Ovis aries: one gene and its partner. The main gene of each other region encodes a partner of the protein of the gene in region 2 in a complex. Links are inferred from orthologs where the notes say so. Each region holds a gene or a part of one and is shown on either strand. Other genes may lie near its edges.

Region 1 (10,716 bases), about 120 Mb from region 2:
GGAATGTACTGTAGCTGCGAAATAATGAAGCTCTTTATACACTGATACGACACAATTGCTTCTCAGGTGGGTCAGTGGCAAAGAATCCACCTGCCAGTGTGGGAGATGCAGGAGATGTGGGTTCAATCCCTGGGTCGGGGAGATCCCCTGGAGGAGGAAATGGCAACCCACTCCAGTATTCTTGCCTGGAAAGTTCCATGGACAGAGGAGCCTGGTGGGCTACAGCCCATGGAGTCTCAAGGAGTCGGACACAACTGAGCAACTGAGCGCACACACACACACACACACACACACACACAATGACATAATCTCCAAGATGCATTAAATGGGGGGAAAAAGTCAATGTGCAGAATAGTCTCTATAGTATGCTCAGTTCAGTCGCTCAGTCATGTCTGACTCTGCGATCCCATGGAATAGTATGCTCCCAAACCTCAAAAAAAAAAAAAAAAAAAAGAGGCAGGGGAGGAAAACATAAGTTTTCTTGCTTATATACACAGAAAGCTTCACGACATACGAGAAGCCATAATAATGGATGATGTCTGGGGTGGGAGTAGAATAGAGGTGAGGAGGTGAAGAAGAGAACAGAGTATCTGGGAATCAGTGGAGGAAAACGTTTTACTACATTCACTGGTGCCTTTGAATTCTGAACCGTGTAAATGTATATTGCCTACTCAAAACTTTTTAATTCGAATTTGAGAAGTATACAAAGAGGCAGGTGAATAATATGCACGCTTCATAGAGATGTGAGGTCTAAATTAAATAGTGCCCCTAAAGTAATTAGTACCGTGCCCGGCACATACGTCAGTGCGTGAACACTGGTTGTTTTTAGAGGTATCAGTTGTGCCAGCCAACCCCCATCTGCCTCCCTCACTTCCCACTCTCCCTATCATCAACCTGTTAGCTGATGCACTCCCCTCAAGGAAAGCTCGACCTTTTCTTGCCTCCCAGGCTCATATACTGGCTGACCTTCGCTGTGGGCCGCTCCTTCCGAGGCTTTGGCTACGGCCTGACGTTCCTGCCTCTGCTGTCCATGCTGATGTGGAACTTCTACTACATGTTCGTGGTGGAGCCTGAACGCATGCTCACTGCCTCCGAGAGCCGCCTGGACTACCCTGACCATGCCCGCTCAGCCTCAGACTACAGGCCCCGCTCCCGGGGCTGAGCTGCCCCACCCCCTTCGTTCCTGGGTGGGATGAACCCACCTACTGCCCCGACAGGGGTGCCATCCAATCAGAGTGTGGGGTGCTCCCTTCATCTTAGGAGCCTGGGACAATTATGTGGGAGGGACTTAAACAGTCTTTCAGGGAAAGAGGTGGACAGCCATGTTCCTTAAGAATGCTGAGGACATGGGACCAGGGGCAGAGGCATGGTTCCTTCCTTAGTAGCCTCTGCTGCCACCAGGGTCCACAAAGACTGGACTCTGCTGCCCACTCTGCAGCCTCCTGCTTGAGGCAGCTGGCAGAGCACAGCCGAAACTCTGACCTTTTCTGTGCTGGCTGTCTAAGCAGAGGGCCTCCAAGAGACTGGAAACATTGCCTATGTCTTAGGTAAAGGCTGGGCATCACATCAAATAGGACTTTCCTGTTTGGTGAAAACCCTTCTGGGGACCTGGGTTCAGGACCCTCCATGACTGGCCTTCCTAGGCCCTTTAGCCTCAGCCAAGTCAGTTACAGCTGCTCCAGCCCAGAGTGGCTGACTCCTCTCTTCCAACCCTTTAGGTCCCTGTAACTTTGCACCTCCAAAGTGCCCAGTCATCTCTCTCCTGTGGGAAGAGGAGCAGACAGGGAAACCTGCTTCCTAAGAGGTGTGTGTGTGTGTGTGTATGTGCGTGCATGCCCACACGCACATGGCTGGGAGTGGTTGGAAAGCATGGTGGTTGATGTTAAACCCGTCTGAATGTGTATATAATAATAAATGATTAATACCACAGTCTTTCTTGGCTCTTCCGTAGGGTTTGCCCCTCAACCTCAAGTGTCCCTTCCTTGTTTGATTCAAACTGCACCAGAAACCTCCCAGCTCCACATATTGAAGAGTGGCTGGCAGGAGCCTGGTCCCATGGCAAGGGAGAGAACTAAGCCTGATGAGGAAATGGGGCTTCAAAAAGAACTTGCCTTCCACGCCCCACCTCCAGCCCTCTCATTCCCTGGAACCAGGTCCAAACCTGCCCAACAATGCACCACATTGAGAGACAAGCCCTGTGGAAAAAAAAAAAAAAACTATTCTATTTCATGCCTTCCAGTGCAGCAAACAGTCAGAAGGCCTCTCTCATTTAGGCCTGTGAGTCCCATTCAAGGGAAATGGGATGGTGGAGGAACAGGGAGGCAACACGGAGGGGACCCTCCCTCTGGCAATCATTCTGTGTCTGGTCCCTCCTCAGAGTTGGAAGGAAGCCCCACCTGGGTCCCCCAGGAAGTTGAGGCTGATCCGAGGTTCTACCGAACAGGAAGATACAAAAGAGGAGGAGCTGCCTGGGAATACTGACCCTCAAACCTGCAGACCAGCAAGGCAGGTCCAGTAATGTCCTTTCCTCTAGAGAGCAGGCCTCAATTTATGGACTGGTATTCAGAGTCCCGCTTGCGGCCCAGCAGCAGAAACAGGCCTCCTGCCAGCAGCGTGAGTGCTGGGGCACCTAGGGCCACTGCCATGATGCCTAGGACTAGCGGGGACAAGGCATCCACTGGAGGGCTGCCCACACCCAGGAGCATGGACCTAGAGCAAGCAGAGTGAGAGAGAGAGAGAGTCAGGCTTAGGAGGGAAGGCTGAGAGGCCTAGCCTTCCTCCTCTGCAACCTCCCAAACCCACAGCCCAGGCCTCGACTCTCACCAGCTGAGGTAGTGTTGGTCCCAGTAGCCAGGGCCTGTGGGAGCCCCAAATGTCAGATTGAAGGCACAGGAGTGGTCCTGGGTCTTAAAGAAGGCTCGGACAATGGGCGACTGGGGGAGAAGGTATGCCAAGGTGGGGTGAAGTGGGGAAGATTGGCAGGGCATGGCGGAGTCCCGGCTGCCCTGCTTCTGGGAGAAAGCCACTGGTCGCCACTGCATGAAGCCTGATGGGAGGGAGCCCCACAGCAGCTGGTCCAACTGAGGAGAAATGCAAACACACAGGTTGAGGAGGACAGAAGATACTTGGCCATTCTGTTCCCCCGCCCTTTCACAGCCTCCCTCTGTCACGAGCGGTCCTGAATCCTAGGCCTGGTTCTAGAACTCGCAGCTGGGTGGCGCCGAGTCCTTTCCCAGTCTCAACACTCAGCAAGCCTGCACCAGCTCCCCACTCTGGGACCCCAGGCCCTTGCGCAGCCCACCGGTTGGAGCAATAGTCACGCTGCGCCGCCTTTCCTCTGGGCTAAATTCATTAGCAGAGCGTTCAGCACTTAAAGGAACTGAATGAGGTGTTGCTAAACAGTGAGTTGTTGAATGATAGAGTCCCCTTTCACACCCCCACCTGTCTGCTTCTCTGCCGGAAGCCTCACCTGGAAGACAGCGGGGGCGTACTCGTCATCGATGGAGTGCTGCTCCTGCATTGAGGGGCAGCCAGGGCCCTGGCCCAAGGTGGCTACCTCCAGCCCAAACAGGGAGCGGTTTCCCCTGGGAGAGGCCCCAACCAGGGCCACCTCTAGCTGGCAGGTGTCCGCCGAGTGCAGGAGGCGAGGGGGTTGGGCTGGTCGGCCGGATGTGGAGAAGGCCTGGACCTAAGATGGAAGAGGCATGGGAGAAGTGGGAAGCGGGTGGATGCCTGTGTTTGAAGGCGACCCCTATCATTAACTCCCACCCTCATAAACCAGCCTTTCGAGTTCAAATTCCCTATATCCTTACCCTGAAGGCCAGGCTGCCATTGGCAAAAGCCCCAGTGGGGTCGTGAACGGGGTGGCCTCGAAATGTGGCACTGAGGGTGGCAGGATCCAGCGAGTCAGTGATGTTGTTCCAGGAGAAATTGGCCAAGGAGTACGGAGGATATGATCTTCCTGGAGGCCTTGAGGCCGCATCGGACATATTGGTGCTGTCAAACTCAAACAGCTGTGGGGGGAGAGGGGGAGGGGTGGGGAGGGACAAGGTTTGCCCGAGTCCACCTTTCTCCTGAATCACCACCCCGCACTCACTGGCCCCACCCCAGGCTCTCGCACATGACTCTACTTCACCTACTCCCAGTCTTCAATTTCTCCCTCTAACTGGAATGAACCCTCTCCTCTGCACTCTTCCCCTTGGATCTCCCCCAACCTCCTCACCCTGGTAAAGACAAGGGCAGAAGAAAATTGGATGCTCTCCTCGGGGAGCACCATCAGGCCCCCGTCAGGATCAGAGGAGAGCAGGAGGCTCCAGTTGACACTCAGGGTGCTGTTGGGGGTGTTGGTGGCCACCAACAGCACTGCTGGGGGACCCAGGCTGCTCCACACATAGTGCAGCGTGGAGTTGGTGCCCACTGCCCGAATATGAAGCAGGTTCTGGGAAAAGTCCGGCACGTTAGAGATGACCTTCAGAGACACCTGGAACAAGGAGTAGAGGCTGGTCAGGAGAAGAGGGTCAGGGAGAGACACAGGACAAAGATGTCTGGGGATGACAGGGGGCTTGCAAAATGATGGGAAAAGAGTGCAAGAGGAATGTTTGTGGGAGCTAAGAGAACCTTACTGTCAAGGGCAGACATGGGCTGGAGGAGAAGCAGGGAGAGCCCAAAATGCCCTAACCCTGGTGGAGAGGTCAGGGCATACGGCTGAGAGGAAGGAAAAAATGCAACACTTGCTTGGACCTGGCTCACTCAGGGCTAGGTCAGGGTCCAGGTTCTACCACATCCGTCCTACTCCATCGTCCTGTACCGTGACCCACGGCTGCCCCGATTCCTCAACGCAAGCACCTTTCATCCCCACCCTTCCGTTGTCCTAGATTCCAACCACCCTTCAAGGCAGCATATGCTGAAACACCTACTGCTCTAGCCCCTCACCTGGCGGGTCTCCTCCCCCAGCAGGCCAAGCGGAGCTGCCGTCAGTAGACTCAGGAGGAGCACGGGGCTGGGGGCACAGAACCCCCAACCCCGGCTAGGCTTTTCATAGCCGCTCATGTGGTCCCGAATTCAGAGAGCGGAAGAGACGCTGAAGTCATGTGACTCACAGATTCAGCTGATCTCTTAAAAGGGCGGGGCTGTCACAACAGTTCTTAAAGAGTCCGCCTCCCTTCCGTATTTGACTTAATAGAATCAGAAAGGTTAGGAGTTTGTCATCCACACCTGAGCTGGCAAGTAAGCCGTCTTAGACTAGATTTGCAGACACACTCCTAACCTCTCCTACCCAACTGGTTCCACTAAAGTTATCTACAAGGGGGCATGATATCTGGATTCAAACATCCAATGGAATCTACAGGAAGACTGTGGCAGGGAAGGCACAGATAATTTGAAACAATTCAGTGGGGGAATAGCACATCTCAGAGGGTTCTTTTTGTCAGTTATCAATAATTATTGAGCCCCTGGCTATGCAGGGTCTTGTCTTGGAAGACAGCTCACAATTTTACTGTGCAGAAAAGAAACCTCAGAAAACAAGACATGAAAGTGATACACAATTGTCATAGAACTGAATACATAACTCAGAGCATGCCTGGCTGAATGAACGCGCTTCTGGTTTTTCTTAATCCTAGTCATTTTAGCTAAGAAAAAATGCACACGGTACAGTATTTATAAAGTACCAGAGGATATCAGCAACCTGGGTCCTTCCTTGAGACAACCATTATTACCAGTTTCTTATGTGTCCTTCCTAAAATATTCTGTGTGCTCATGTTTATGTATTCCTTTTTCTGGCCACACCACATGACATGTGGGATCTCAGTTCCCCAACTAGGGATTGAATCCATGCCCTGCAGTGGAAGCAGTCTTAACCACTGGACTGCATATATACATACATATTTACTACTACTATATACACACATGTGGGTAATAAGATACCATGGAATCCACTGTCTAGAAATTTTTTTCACATATATTGAGGACTATTCTGCCTCTCTCCAGTCTTTCATTGCAAGGGGGATATTCCACGGATATACTTAGCCAGAACCTTGATAGTATCCAACATTTTGCTACAGGCAAAAAACACTGAAAAGAATATCCCTGTATGAACAGCATTTCATATATATTTGTAACCAAATCTGTAAGATTAATACTCAGGAGCAGAATTGCCTCCAGTTGCCTTCTATGAAGTTCAATTGATTACACCATGTTTGAGGGCCCATTTCCCCAACACTTTGACAAGTGCTTACCAAACAATTTGCATTTCCCGATGAATAAAATGAAACACTTCTCCATGTTTTATTAGTCATTTATTTTTGCTTCCCTGGAACTATTTATACCTTTTGCCTATTTTTCTGAGTCCCTATCATTCATTCATTTATTGCCACACAGCACAAGATCTTAAGTTCCCTGACCCATGATGGAACCTGCACCTTTGGCAGTGAAAGCATGGAGTCTCAAGGAGTGCCAGGGAATTCCCCTGCTATGTTAAGTGTATAGTTTAAGATTTACTTTTGACTGTGCTGGGCCTTTGTTGCTGTGTGTGGGCTCCAGTAGCTGTGCTCAGGCTTGGCTGCCCCAAGGCATGTGGAATGTTCCCAGACCAGGGAACTCATGTCCCCTGCACTGGCAGGCAAATTATTAACCACTGGACCATCAGGGAAATCCTGATGAGCGTATTTTTAAACCTCATGGTTTTTTAGTGCTCTTATATTTAAATCTTTCAGTTGCCAGAAACTAATTTTGCTGTAAGAAACAAAGAAAGGATCCAGTTTCATTTTTTTCCCTCTGATGGCTAGTCTAGGATAAACTCAAGTTTCCTTAAAATTTTTCATTTTTTTTTTCTGACCATGCTACCCAAAGCAACCTATAGATTTAATGTGATCCTTATCAAATTAGCCATGACATTTCTCACAGGAATTAGAACAAACCCTAAAATTTATACGGAACCATAAAAGACCCAGAACTGCCAGAGCAATCCTTAGGGAAAAGAACAAAGCAGGAGGGACAACCCTCCCAGACATCAGACACTACTACAAAGCTACAGTAATCAAAACAGCCTGATGCTGGCACAAAGACAGACATATGAGTCAATGGAACAAGAGTCCAGAAGTAAACACATAACACCTACGGACAACTCATCTGTGACAAAGAAGGAAGAATATAGGATGAAGAAAAGCATCTTCAGCAAGTTGTGTTGGAAAAGCTGGACAGTCTCGTGTAAATCAAAGAAGGTAGAACACACCTCATACCATACACAAAGTGAAAGTGAAAGTCAGTCGTGTCTGACTCTTTGCGAGCCCATGGACTATACAATCCATGGAGTTCTCCAGGCCAGAATACTGGAGTGGGTGGCCTTTCCCTTCTCCAGGGGATCTTCCCAACCCAGGGACTGAACCCAGTCTCCTGCATGGCAGGCAGATTCTTTACCAGCTGAGCCACAAAACGAACTCAAATGGCTTACAGAAAACATATGCATGTGAAAATCGCTTAGTCCTGTCTGACTTTCTGTGACCCCAAGGACTGCAGTCCCCAGGGCTCCTCCGTCCACGGAATTTTCCAGGCAAAAATACTGGAATGGGTTGCCATTTCCTTCTCCAGGGGATCTTCCTAACCCAGCGATTGAACCTGGGTCTCCTGCATTGCAGGCAGACTCTTTTCCATCTGAGCCACTAGGGAGGTGGCAGACAATTTAAAGACATCATAAAACTCCTAAAAGAGAACATATGCCAAACATTCTCTGCCGCAAATCACACTGATGATTTCACAGGGTAGTCTCCCAAGACAACAGAAATAAAAGCAAAAGTGAACAAATGGGACCTAACCAAACTCACAAGCTTCTATACAGCAAAGGAAACCAGAAACAAAACTAAAAGACAACCTACGTACTGGAAGATATTTGCAAATGATGCGACCAACAAGCGATTAATTTCCAAAATATACAAAAAGGTCATACAACTCCACTGCAAGGAAAACACCACCCAACTGAAACGGGCAGAATACCTGAACAGATGTGTCTCCCAAGAAAACATACAAATGGCCAATAGGCAGATGAAAACATGCTCATCACACTGTTAAAGAAATGCCAATCAAAACTAGATTAAATCAACTATACTCCAATAAAAATTATAAACTATGAGCTTATATATATAGATACACACACACACCAGTCACCATGGCCATGTCACACCAAAAACATCTACAAAGGGACTTCCCTGGTGTGGTCCAGTGGTTAAGAATCTGTGCTTCCGGTGCAGAGGGTATGGACACGATCCCTGGCCAGAGAGGCAAGGACCTGCATGCTGTGTTGCACGTCCAAAAAAGAAAAGGAAAAATGACACAAATGAACATACTTGTGAAACAGAAACAGACTCACAGACACACAGAACGGACTTATGGTTGTCAGGATGGACAGAAGGATTGGCAGTCTGGGACTCGCAACATGCATACTACTCTATGTGGAATGCATAAACAAATCCTTCTGTACAGCACAGGGAGCCACACTCACTATCCTGTGATAGAGCAGAATAGAACAGAACAGGAAAAAGAATATACACCAATATAAGTCACCCTGCTGTGCAATAGAATTAACACTGTAAATCACCTATACTTCAAATTTAAAAACCTTGAGAAAAAAAGTTGCACCCTCTCAAGTGTCACCTGTAGACTTGACAAGTGAGGATATACGAAAGTGTCTTGGCTGAGTACATGGTGTTTAACAGGATTCAAGGCTCTTCCCATCCCCAAAACACTGCTTTATGAGGGGGCAGGTGCAGAATAGAATTTAGTTGAATCCAGGAATTTGCCAGAGAATCATGACAAAGTCAAGGTGGCAGCAAAAACTGTGCTCATGGAATCACTTTAGAGCCCAGGCAGGCAACATAGTTGCTTGGGTAGACTTTAATGACTTAAATTTAGGCTTTGAAAAGCACAAAGGGGCTCTGAAAGCTCTGATGAAGGACAGAGATTGATCTAACATTCCAGGAGGAATTTCCATAGGTTAGATACTATGTACAATTAATTATCCATGTATTTAACCATTAGATGTAAAACCAGAATGGACCTAGAAAAGTGTAAAGAACAAATGGGAGGCAATTCCTCCCTCCATTATTTTTAGGTCTTTTAAGCACCATCTCTTCAAGATCTTTGAGAATTAACTCATTATCTTTCTTAATGTCTGAAAACTCTTGACGGAATTAACTCTTCATGTAGAGGCAGGGATTTCAGCAAAAGGTGGGTAGGCTTATTTCAGAGCCTCTCATAGAAAAGGAAAAGCTCAAAATTTTAGACCGGGTTAAGCAGCAAATTAAATACCAGGTGTGATGAGAGCAGATCTCCACAGGCCCTTTTCCATAGCACACCTCTGTTCAGTCATCATTGCTAGTTGTAAATGCAACTTTAGAGCCAGACCATCTACCCAGGAATTCTAGGCCTGCCACTTATCATTTTTGTGACCCTTGGACAAATTACTTTATGCTTTGGATTCCTAATAAAACAGGGTTATTACCCATCTTACAGGGTTCTTTTAAGGACTGGCTAATACATGCGAAGTGACCAAAACATACCCATTCTACAACAAGCACTATGTGCTAGCCATTATCATGCCACCTGGTATTAAACTTAGTAATACTAACTCTTGTAGTCACGGAGGAGATACAATCTGGTGGCATGAGTCATGAGGACAGAAGGAATGGGACAGCGTAGAGGAAGGTCTCTGAAGAAATCAAAGGCTAGCCCCACCTAGCCTCCAGAGTCTCAGGGTCACAAGACTTTTTTTTGTCTTGATAAAAATGAAGCACAAAATGGGACATCTTTTGTTACTGTTAGCAGGGCAAGTAGAGATCCTACTGCGACACAAACACACCAGGAAAATAAGCCAGCCAGCCAGAACAGACTGGAATCAGGAAGAACCCTGGGAGACAGCAGAGAAAGAATTCTAGGTAGGACAGCAAAGATTCTGGAAAGCTACAGGATACAGTACAAAAAACACATGCTCTGTGTTCTTCAGGATGAACGCCAGAGCCCTGGCACCTACTGCGTGTTGCTCTACATATAACCACACACAAGGAATACCCATAGTTTGGACAGGGTCTTCCTGTTCTTTGGGTGGTGAATGCGAAGTTGTGCTGCTTTAAGCCTTACAGTATCAAGCTTTGAATTCAAGAGCCATCCCAACTAGCATCTACTGAGAATTGTGAAGAATACCCTCTCAAAAAGACTAAGTTACCTAATGACCTCAATCCCCATCTTTCCTTTCTTTCTCCGCAGTAAAGTTTTTTGCCTTCTCCTTCCTTGCCAGGAGGCAGAGATATGACCCAAGGTTGAAAAACACATAACAACCATCTCAAATGACCTCGATTTAATCATCGGAAGCAAACTAAATGGAAAGCTTACAATAGAGAAGAATTACATGTCAGTGCCTTTTGCAAACTGAGCTGGGTCAGAAAGAGACTGGGGCTGCCCCTCAACCTGATCCCTTCCAAACAAAGATATCCACAGTGTCCCTGGCAGTCTGGCTCAGGGAAGGGGGAGACTCTGCTGGCTCTGTGCGTTGAGGTTGCCTTGTCCACTGCTCACTCCTGGCCAGCATCAGGAGCTCCGCCCTGCCGGCTCTGGTCGTCACCCTTCTTTTTGTGGCCTGAGACGATGTCATCAATCCGCAGCAGCAGAACTGCCGTCTAGAAGAAAAACCACAGCCCCAAAGAGGTCAGCAGACAGGAAGGACACTTGTTT
Region 2 (10,064 bases):
AAAAAAAGCTGAAGCTCCAGTACTTTGGCCACCTCATGCGAAGAGTTGACTCACTGGAAAAGACTCTGATGCTGGGAGGGATTGGGGGCAGGAGGAGAAGGGGACGACAGAGGATGAGACGGCTGGATGGCATCACCGACTCGATGGACATGAGTTTGAGTGAACTCCAGGAGTTGGTGATGGACAGGGAGGCCTGGCATGCTGCAATTCACGGGGTCGCAAAGAGTCGGACACGACTGAGCGACCAAACTGAACTGAATGTTGCTCCCCTGGGTACCCTCTACCAGACCATCTATCATGAAACACCATGATCCTTTCCACGTTCCAAATGCTGGAAGAAGCATGACCAACCACAGTGAAGTCCAGAGAGGCAGGAGCACCACAGTCAGGGAACTGAAACCCAGGCCACATGGTTTAGACAAGCACAGGAAATGAGTATGTCTGACCAAGACCCTGAGATCTGTCTTTGTAAGCAAAATGCTAGTGCCTGACAGAAAATAAACACTCACTAGAAGGCAGAAGTCCAACAACCAGTAAAAGCTACTTGTGCAGGCATATCTCATCTCTATGGGAGACTGAGCTTCACTAAGTTAATTGTAGTTGGAACTTCCCTGGTAGTCCAGTGGCTAAGACGCCATGCTCCCAATGCAGGGGACCCAGGTTCAATCCCTGGCTGGGGAACTAAGATCCACATGCTGCAACTTAATTCACGTGCTGCAAGTAAAGAACCCGTATGCCACAACTAAGACCCAGGGCAGCCAAATGAATAATAATCATGTATTTGGACGCTTTTTATAAAGGGACACGACTCTGAGAATTTGTTTAAAAAACAAAAAGTTAACTGTAGTAGATGAGTCAGAGCTTCTTAGCACTAGAAATGTGCAAGCAGAGCCGGGATGACCATACATAAAGACCTTCACTGCAGTAATGCTGAAAATGGGTAAAGAATAAAAACTCTGTGATCCGTCTGTCCCAATGCTCAGAATCTCTGAACTAATGAATGCTCAATTAGCATTTGAAACTGCTTCCTCTTAGGTGAAATAAGATTAGAAATGCCTTCACTAAAGGTAAATGCTACATTATGGTCTAGAAAAATATATAAAAAATCAACACAACTTATACACAACTATACTTCATCCTGTAATCTTTAAGACAGGGTTACAAGAGTCAATCTTTCGCTTCCTATTTGGCTTTGTTATGTCATACTTACAATTCTCGCCATGCTAAGCTGGAGTCCAAACACCAAGTTTAACTCTTTGCCTTTAAACCAGCTCACAGCGTATGTATTCTGGGCAACTGCTAAGGACTCCCCACCAATCCTAAAACAAGGAAAGAAAAGTCACAGCTTTAAAAGAAATACCACAGTTAGCAATGCAGCAGGTATAAAATTTTGACACTCCTCCTGTCAAGAGGTAGTATCTACGCCCCTCCTCTGAATCTAGATGGACTTGTGATTGCTTCAATGAGTAGAAGGTGGTGGAGGTGGGGCTGGGATAGAAAAGGGGGTATCTGCCTTTCCACGCAAACGTTCACACCTAGAATCCTGAGCCACTGTGTAAGAAGGCCAAGCACCCTGAGTCCGCCACACTATGAGAAAGCCAAGCCACACAGAGAGGCCACGTGTAGGTGCTCTAGTCAGCAGTGCCAGTCCTCAAGTCACCCCGGTCCAGGCTCCAGACGTCAGGTGCAGACACACTGTCCACACTGTACCCAGTCCAAATTCCTGACCCACGAAGTCCACGATGTAAGGGTGGTTTTGTAACCGACCAGGATCTATGGGGCCTTCCTGGGACAGCCCTTTGCCTGTATCCTCTGCTGCAGCTCCTCTCGGAAGTACACAGATAATAGTATTTGGTACAAATTTCCTGAGTTGTGTTGCAGATGTGAAAACTGGCCCCACCAAAAGGAAGACCTACTTGATGACCATGAGCACACAGCCCAGGCCTCTGGGAGCCTAAGGGCTGATACAGCTAACCCCTGTGACACCACCCTACTCCTCCCATCATCACCACCCATCATCAGCCAATAACAGAATTGCGCATGAGCTGATCAGGTACCCTGAGACATCCTCACTTCGTCTGTCTTTTAAAATGCTTTGCCAAAACCCTTCCAGGAGAGTGAAGCTTTTTAGGGCATGAGCCACCTCGTCTCCTTGCATAGCTCTGCGATATACCTTTCTCTGCTCTAAACGCCTACATTTCACTGTACCTCACTGTGCATCAGGCACACAAACCTGCATTTACTAGTTTTATACTGCTAAGTACAGGTAATTTAATATACTGCAATGACAACTCTGCCTGGCAATAAAAGGGGTTCGAGCTACCACATCATCATCTATGCTGTATAAAATGTTCATCTGGGAAGAGTGGTCCATACTTTGTGAAAACACATAGATTCACACTTTTTAGGCCAGTATCTTCCATATTTGACATTCTCCTACTTTACAGATTTTAATTTTCCTTCTGCAGGTTCTAAATATTGACCTTCAGCTAAGAGATTCCTCTTCTCTGCATCCAAACACTGAGTCCTCCTCACCACTGTCCTCATCTAAAAATATTTCCCCTCTTCTATGAATCCACATCCTATATGGATGGCCATTTCTGATCACACATCTATCTCTGAGTCCCTTTCACATTTTAATAAACCATTTTTCCCTTCTCCCTCACTTAGAGCACTTTTGGGGATGTGTCACCTATGGCTAAATGTCCCTGGTACCTGTAAAAAGCGTAAGTTAGGTTGTCTGCATCCCTCCGGGCAGGAAGCCCAAGGCCGAATTGAGAATGAGCTTATAGAACAGACATGGAAATTCATTGACAGCTATTGGTCTTTTAGTAATCTGCTCATTAAAGTCTTTTCAACATGATTCAAAAGGACCTACACATTACCCAATTAGAAACAGCAAAATGTCCATTCATCACCAAGCTAGAAATTGACAGTCTATACTTCTCTACATGAGGTTTAAATCACAATCTTCAATACAACAGAAAAGCAAAACACCTAAGAAAAACATCATCTCTGGAAAACTATTTAATATTCAAACCCTATACAGAGTTAATTATTACCACTCAAAATTGTTGCTTACTGGAAAGGAAAATTAAGACAATAATTGAGCAGTTGTATGTGTCCGTGTGTGTATATATATATGCACACACACACACATACAGAGAGAGAAAGAAAGAGAAAGAGAGGTAGATTTCAAGGATTTGAAGTAATTCTCCAGAAGATACAATAATATATTCTGGCAAATCTTTAATAAATTGATGAACAGTAATGTGTGCGTGTGTTCAGTCGCTCAGTCGTGTCCAATGCTTTGCTCCATGGACTATAGCCCACTAGGCTCCTCTGCCCATGCAATTTTCCAGGCAAGAATACTGGAGTGGGTTGCCATTTCCACCTCCAGAGGATCATCCCCACCCAGGGACCAAACCCATATCTCCTGCAATTATCCTACACTGCAGGCAGATTTTTTACCACTGAGCCACCTGGGAAGCCCCCAAAACAGTAATTTGTTAAGACAAATGAAATTATGCATAACTTACCCAAACACAAACCTTCCCAATTCCATCAGCCAAAAAGCATTAAATATTCCACCCAGGGCAAAAACAACCTATAACATGGAATATAATGTAGGATCAATGAAAAAGAAAATTCAAGGAATCCAAAATAAGTAACATATGATGAAACACAACTTCTACAATGATTTTAGTGTTTCTTCTTAGGAAATCTGTGAAATTTAAGTATCGATGTTCATTTGTCTCAAGGCTTAAAATGGACTGTGCATTATGTCGCATGGGCATTTGTGAACTCTGCTTACTCAAGTTAGGCTTTCACCAAACACATCCATGCTGGTGAAGTAGACAAGAATTCAAGAGACAGCGTTCACAGTGAATCAGTGAACAATTTGTCTTACCTGCCCAACGCAAACAAAGCAACTAAAAATGATGGTGCCCCATCTGTTAGAAAAAGAGAGAGAAAGTGAATTAAGAGTTTATCACCAAATCCTTCAGTAATAATTCACTTTGGATTTCTTGAGACTCTTCTGCATTCCCTCTAAGGAAGAAAAATGAGGTTCTAGTTGGCCTCTGAAATCAGCAGCTTTCCGAGGCTGAATGCTAATCCATAGAGGTCTCTAATCCCAAAGGGATTCCAGAGGCTTTGGTAAGGGCATGTTTAAGCCATTATCATCTCTTAAACAAAACTTGTTAAATAATGTTCAAGAAGTTCCCAGGGTTCCCATTTAAAAATGGACATTCTTCACAAATTTTTTACTGAGTTTAGGGTTGATTCCAAGGGATTCTATATTAAATAATTTTAAGTGGTTTTAATTCTGTATGCTGCTGCTGCTGCTAAGTTGCTTCAGTCGTGTCCAACTCTGTGCGACCTGATAGACAGCAGCCGACCAGGCTCCGTCATCCATGGGATTTTCCAGGCAAGAGTACTAGAGTGGGTTGCCATTGCCTTCTCCATTAATTCTGTATAACTAAAAGCTATTTTTAAAAGGAAAAACAGGGACCATGAGAAATGATATAAATCTGCTTACTCTAACATTCCATACTCTGAATAGCTCATTAATGTTTCCCCAGAGTAATAAAATACCAGTATTAGGAGAGTCATTAAAGATCATATGAGTAAACCATCTTTCTGAAATCCACGTCCCTCCAAAAATCCTTGTGAAATGGTCATACCACAGTCTACTGAAAGTTTTCCCAAAGTAACTCATGGCCTCTCCTGTTATCCTGATCAAGCAAAATCTTCATCACACATAAATGGCATCTGTTTCCTTCAAGTTCAAGCAAATTCTACCCCTTTAGACCAAGCAAATTAAAGTCCTCCTTTATACAGTCATCAGAGTGTTTAAAAGTTAGTCCCCAAGCTTAAACACATATAGTTTCTTCAATTCTTTTTCACCACACACGGCTGGAAAGCCCATCGTCATTTTGCCCTCTGCCTTCTGAAAATATTCCAGACTACATCCCTCCTAAAGTCTCCACAAACAGCACACAATCATCAGGATGAAGACTGACAAAGCTAATAATGTGATGCCTTCCTCAGCATCTAACTGTGGTCACAAAGAGTTTAATGCCTAAAGAAAGGCAGAAGAGAAAATCTCACTGGGGCTGGGAGAGGTAAACAGTAAACACATGCCAAATACTGCGCATCCATCTCCCTCAATCCTTATAACCACCTTGCAAGGCAGGAAATACTATCCATATTTTACCAATGAGAAAACTGAGGCTCAGGAATCTAGGAACAGCTCAGAAGAACTAAGAAGCTGAGCAAGTAGCAGCAACAGAAATCAGACCTGGCTTGCTGATTCCAAGTGAGAGCATAATTTACCTTTAGATAACTGAGTTACCATATGCCATGAGCAGCATTTAACTGAAATACCAACCAAGTTTCAAAAACCGAAATTACACACACACACAAACAAATGCAGAGTCACACACTCAATATAAAAGTTTATTCAGTTCTTTCTAGAAATACTTAATCTAGTTTTATGTTTTCTTAATAATCATCTTTACCCATAAGTGAGATTTTTCCCAAGCTTACCGTATTCCAAATACTCGGTCTATCAAAAAGCCACCAAAGAAACACAAAACTACATTGGGCCAAGAATACCAGGCATACAGCAGCATGAATTTCGTGGTATTCACCTGCATATCCTATACGGAAAGAAAACAAAATGATTTTTTTCAAAGCAGTTAAATGTAGCAACTGACAATCAAAACATTCTTTCTGGTAGTGGAGGCATTTCTTAATCATTTACTGTTACTAACAGCTTTGGCCTCTACCTCCAGAAAAACGGTCACACCTGGGAACTTCTTGAGTCTGCAGTCATTTCAGAGGCCTCGTGGGGTTCAGCATCCATCAGCTCTTGCACTATGGGGATCACCTCTGCCTACATCTGCTTGTATCTTCTACCTTTCTATTCCCTGTGTACTACCTGCTGTAGGGCTTCACCTACATGAAAAAGAACAATCTTTAGCATATCCTTTCCCCCTACCTCACTAATTCTTGGTCTTTCTCACTCATTCTAGAATGTGAAGGGCCAATCTGTGTTGTTTCTCCCTATCCAAATGTTAAAAAAAAAAAAAAACTTACAAAGGAAAAAAAAATCTAAATACATAGGAAACTGTAAATATCAAAAATACTGACACAGACAATCCTCTGGAATCAGTATCCACATTTTAAAAATGAAATGACAATAACATACTTAAGAAAGCAAAATGCTCTCTTACCAAATCATCTGTCATTCTGATGATTACACAGTGGGAGAGAGAAATGCCAACAAAAATTCACAATACTTTTTGGGCTGCACTGTGGAAATAGTAGTTATTCATCTAAGGCATGAAACAATACTAAGTCATAAGTGCCATAAGTGAATTCTTTGTGGCCACTCATTCCAAGTCAAGAATACTCCTTGCCTACACAGATTTGGTGACAACAGATGTTCAAATGGATTCATTAGACAATGTTTCGGACCATGCAATCTGAGAGTTGATGCTTCAGCTATATATCTGCTCCAGAGACAACAAAAGAAACAGGTGAAAAGTCAACTTACCCGTTTAACTTGAATCTGAAGGGCAGCAGGATTATCATAGCAAAAGTAGCTGCCTAGAAAAAGGAAAGGCAAATTTCTTTTTAGTAATACTTTCCATATAAAAGTTTCAAGTTGCAGTTACTACTCCAGTGGTGATTTTAAATGTTTATACTAGGGACTCAAAGAAACTGGAAACTTTTTGGACTGCTTCCTTGTCCACTAATACTTTCTAAGTTGCAGCCAAATAACCCAGAGAAAACATACCAAGTGATTTACAAATTATTAGCCTCCATACACAGCAAATACTGGGAACCTGGATTAAGAAGTTAATCAACAACTGTTTTTCCACCTTGAAAGTGAAAGTCACTTAGCTGTGTCTGACTCTTTGCCACCCCATGGACTATACAGTCCATGGAGTTCTCCAGGCCAGAATGCTGGAGTGGGTTGCCATTCCCTTCTACAGGGGATCTTCCCAACCCAGGGATCAAACCCAGGTCTCCCACATTGCAGGCGGAGGAAGACCCTTTTCCACCTTACTTTCATCCTGTTTCCTATGTCTATTGTTTTATTAGCATCTTCATGAAACAGCTATATTTTCCTTAAAGCTACCAACACACACACACACACACACACACACACACACGTCAAAACATCCTCAGTAGTTTCCTAGTAATGTTACCTAAAGCCACCACTTGAGCACACAGGAATGGAGTTTAACTACTCTGATTAGATCTGTTTTCAAAATAAGAATTCTAATTTCACAAACAGTATATCCAAGATCAAATAACTCAGCAGATACACAGCCAGGAATGAAGAAAAATAAAACAGAGTTCTAAAAGGTTAAATTAAAACATAGTAACATCTTCTGGAGGGTCAGAAAGAAAGAAGTGGAGAGAGGTTGGACTTTTTACAGTAATAAAATCAACAGAGTTTTGATAAGCCAGGAGATAATGCTGCCCCTGTTTCTCCACTAACTCCGTCTAGAAGTATACACAGAAACAACCAGTTCAAAAGAAATAAAATTGTCATTAGAAAAGTTATGACTCTGGCTTCTGAAACCCATTGAAGGTAAACATAAAAATCACCAAAAATAAATTGTTAAAGTAGGGGCAATTTTAAGTATTTTGTGTTGTTCTCGATTTTTTGTTCCTAAACTCAGAACTTTATGAATCCTGTTTTAATGGCATATCAATGTCAAAGGAATCATATCTTATCAAAGGAATATCAATGTCAGGCTTCAAAATTAATGAATGGGCACCATCTTTCCACAAAGTGAAAAGAAGGGGAAATAAAAAGAGATGCAAAGAAACTAAAGCACAAAGCAGCCTCCATGCCTACTTATATATTCCAGCAGTAGCAGAAAGGTATCCACCATAAACCTGTTGATTACACCAAATCAAGCGAGTCCACGAAAAATACATTATTACTTTCACACCAAGCTGATACTGACACAGAATGTTACTGGAAAAATTAGTTGCTGGGACATAATAAGCGGATATTTTTTAATCTCCAGAAACTGCTTTCACAGTCACCAAATTTCGTAACTGAAACCAAACAGCACAAGTCCAGTCCAGTAGGATTGCTTCAGATTAGCAGAGGGGAGAAGTAGAATACATCTACCCACTGAAGCAATCAACAAGACACACTCATACCTTTTGCCAAAGAGGAAGAGATACATAAACGACTGCCAACGAATTCTTCCATCAAAATATTTAAAGTATTCTTTAAATACTTTAAAGTATTTTTGGAGGCTTCTTTGGGGGAGGGGATTACATCTTTCTGAATTCCCTCTAAACAAAGTGTCCTGAGAGGAACCTTGACATCTAAGGATTCTCTCGTATCTATAGCCCCAGAAGGCAAATTGCTAGCTTTTGGAACTTCTTGCGAGAGTGGGACAAAAGTCGCTCGGCTCAGTCCCTTGACCCCCACCTTCGGGACACTGAAGAGCCAGCAACAGGCTTGAATGGGGTCGCGAAGGTGTTGGAGGAAGAGCGGGAGGACCTAGGAGTTCAACGCAACTCCGAGACAGTCTGGAATTCCTTGATTACCAGTCCCACCCCACCAGGCCGGCCGGCTCACCGAAGCCAAGGAAGCACATCAGCAATAGAACCACGAGCCGGTGCGCTAGGCGACTGGGGTCGCAGAGGGCCTGCAGCGCCCCGGAGGCAGCGGGGGCAGCCTGGGTTTCTCTGCCCGCCTCGTCCGAGCCGCCTGGCAGCAGCGCCCTCGCTTCCTCATCCTCGTCCTCCATCGAGCCCGCGGGAGACCGAGAGATGACAGCGAGTGCAACTCCAGGAGGAAGCCGCTGCCGGAGCCCGGAGCAAACTGCTCACGTGACCGCAGCCGCTCACGTGACGCCGCGGCAGATCACGCACGGCTACGCTCCTGTGAGTGGGCGTGGTACTCGGTGGGCCGGACCGGCGGGGCGCGAAGGGGAACGGCGGCGTGAGTTTTTCACTCGGAACTTCCTAAGCGGGGGGCGCTGTCCTCTCTTTTCCTGCTTTGCTCCCGCTGCCGACTCCGTGCCGCTCCTCCGGAGAAAGTGCGGGCCTCCCGTCGGGCCCGACGCCAGGCTCCTCCTGCGAGATCCCACCTGCGCGAAGGACGCGAGAACGCGCGCAGCGCTCCTCTTACTATTGCTCTCCGCCGCTTCTTTGCTGCTCTTAATAACACACAGTTGATTGAGCACCTTATGATGTGTTTCAGGTACTGGGGAAACTAAGTGGAATGTGACAAGCTCTCGGACCTCAAAGAGTTCACAGTTCAGTTGGAGAGAGCGGCAGAAACTAATACCGTATGGCGAATGAATGAGTGTAGTGAGGACTGCGGCTGAGATGAGCACTGAATTCTAGCGGAATGTCAGGGAAAGGCGTTTGGGAAACGGAGAGTAAGTGTACCGTTTAACCAGCTGTAGGGGAAAGTGACGGCGAGGGGGTGAGGAGTAGTAAAGATCCTGAAAGTTCATACCTAAACTAGAATTAATAAGAATGAGTCAGTCTTGGTTCTTTATGAAGGGGTGGGTTTTGGAGGTGAGGGGAGCGTTACGGATAATAAAGATGCAAGCATGAAACAACTGAGTGAGTTGATCTGGGAATGAGAGCGGGAACTCCAGAGTACGAACGACGAAGCTTGTTTCATGAGGAGCCATGCAAGGTAGAAATTTCTAGCAGAGCAGCAAGGACGCCAGACCTGTGGTGGTTGCCCAGCTTCATGACAGAACTCTTGAGGGTGACAAAGCTAGAGCTTCAATAACAATGAGGATTACTAGATATTAGGAAGATTAGAGGTGATGAGGGCCTATCCTGGATGGAGCAAGGGAAACGGGCTTCCCAGGTGGCGCTAGTGGTAAAGTACCTGCCTGCCAATGCAGGAGACCGCAGAGACATGAAATCGATCCCTGGGTTGTGAAGATCCCCTGGAGGAGTGCATGGCAAACCACTCTATTAAGTATTCTTGCCTGGAGAATTCCGTGGATAGAGGCGGCAGGTGGGCTGCAGTCCATAGAGTCGAAAAGCGTCAGACA

The links. Proteins that work in one complex are often made in the same cells at the same time.
Region 1: the proteins of MFSD1 (region 2) and GLMP are in contact, whole or in part, in a cryo-EM structure (PDB 8R8Q), measured with the Mus musculus proteins. The link is inferred for Ovis aries from reciprocal best matches to the Homo sapiens genes MFSD1 and GLMP. Residues at the interface, in NP_080089.1 of Mus musculus: Val288, Glu292, Lys293, Arg295, Phe349, Phe351, Leu411, Asp412, Lys414, Gly415, Tyr416, Leu417, Leu418, Val421, Ile424, Ser428, Leu432, Val435, Leu439; in NP_064387.1 of Mus musculus: Glu250, Asn252, Ser253, Ile254, Asp255, Asp256, Glu257, Pro260, Ala261, Phe263, Gln264, Arg292, Phe364, Leu367, Val368, Ile371, Met372, Ala375, Ala378, Leu381, Met382, Gly385, Phe389.

Annotation. Positions count from the first base shown.
Region 1 is NC_056054.1:106,293,933-106,304,648, forward strand, and holds GLMP (glycosylated lysosomal membrane protein), read right to left. Parts: upstream 5,083-10,716; 5' UTR 5,050-5,082; coding exon 4,933-5,049; intron 4,481-4,932; coding exon 4,223-4,480; intron 4,014-4,222; coding exon 3,813-4,013; intron 3,689-3,812; coding exon 3,470-3,688; intron 3,081-3,469; coding exon 2,824-3,080; intron 2,710-2,823; coding exon 2,544-2,709; 3' UTR 1,163-2,543; coding exon of another isoform or gene 949-1,162; 3' UTR 16-948; downstream 1-15. Other genes in the region: TMEM79 (transmembrane protein 79), read left to right, coding at 949-1,162. UniProt on the Homo sapiens protein: Required to protect lysosomal transporter MFSD1 from lysosomal proteolysis and for MFSD1 lysosomal localization.
Region 2 is NC_056054.1:229,453,348-229,463,411, forward strand, and holds the start of MFSD1 (major facilitator superfamily domain-containing protein 1), read right to left. Parts: upstream 8,869-10,064; 5' UTR 8,793-8,868; coding exon 8,621-8,792; intron 6,616-8,620; coding exon 6,563-6,615; intron 5,664-6,562; coding exon 5,551-5,663; intron 3,954-5,550; coding exon 3,911-3,953; intron 3,608-3,910; coding exon 3,540-3,607; intron 1,320-3,539; coding exon 1,211-1,319; intron 1-1,210. UniProt on the Homo sapiens protein: Lysosomal dipeptide uniporter that selectively exports lysine, arginine or histidine-containing dipeptides with a net positive charge from the lysosome lumen into the cytosol.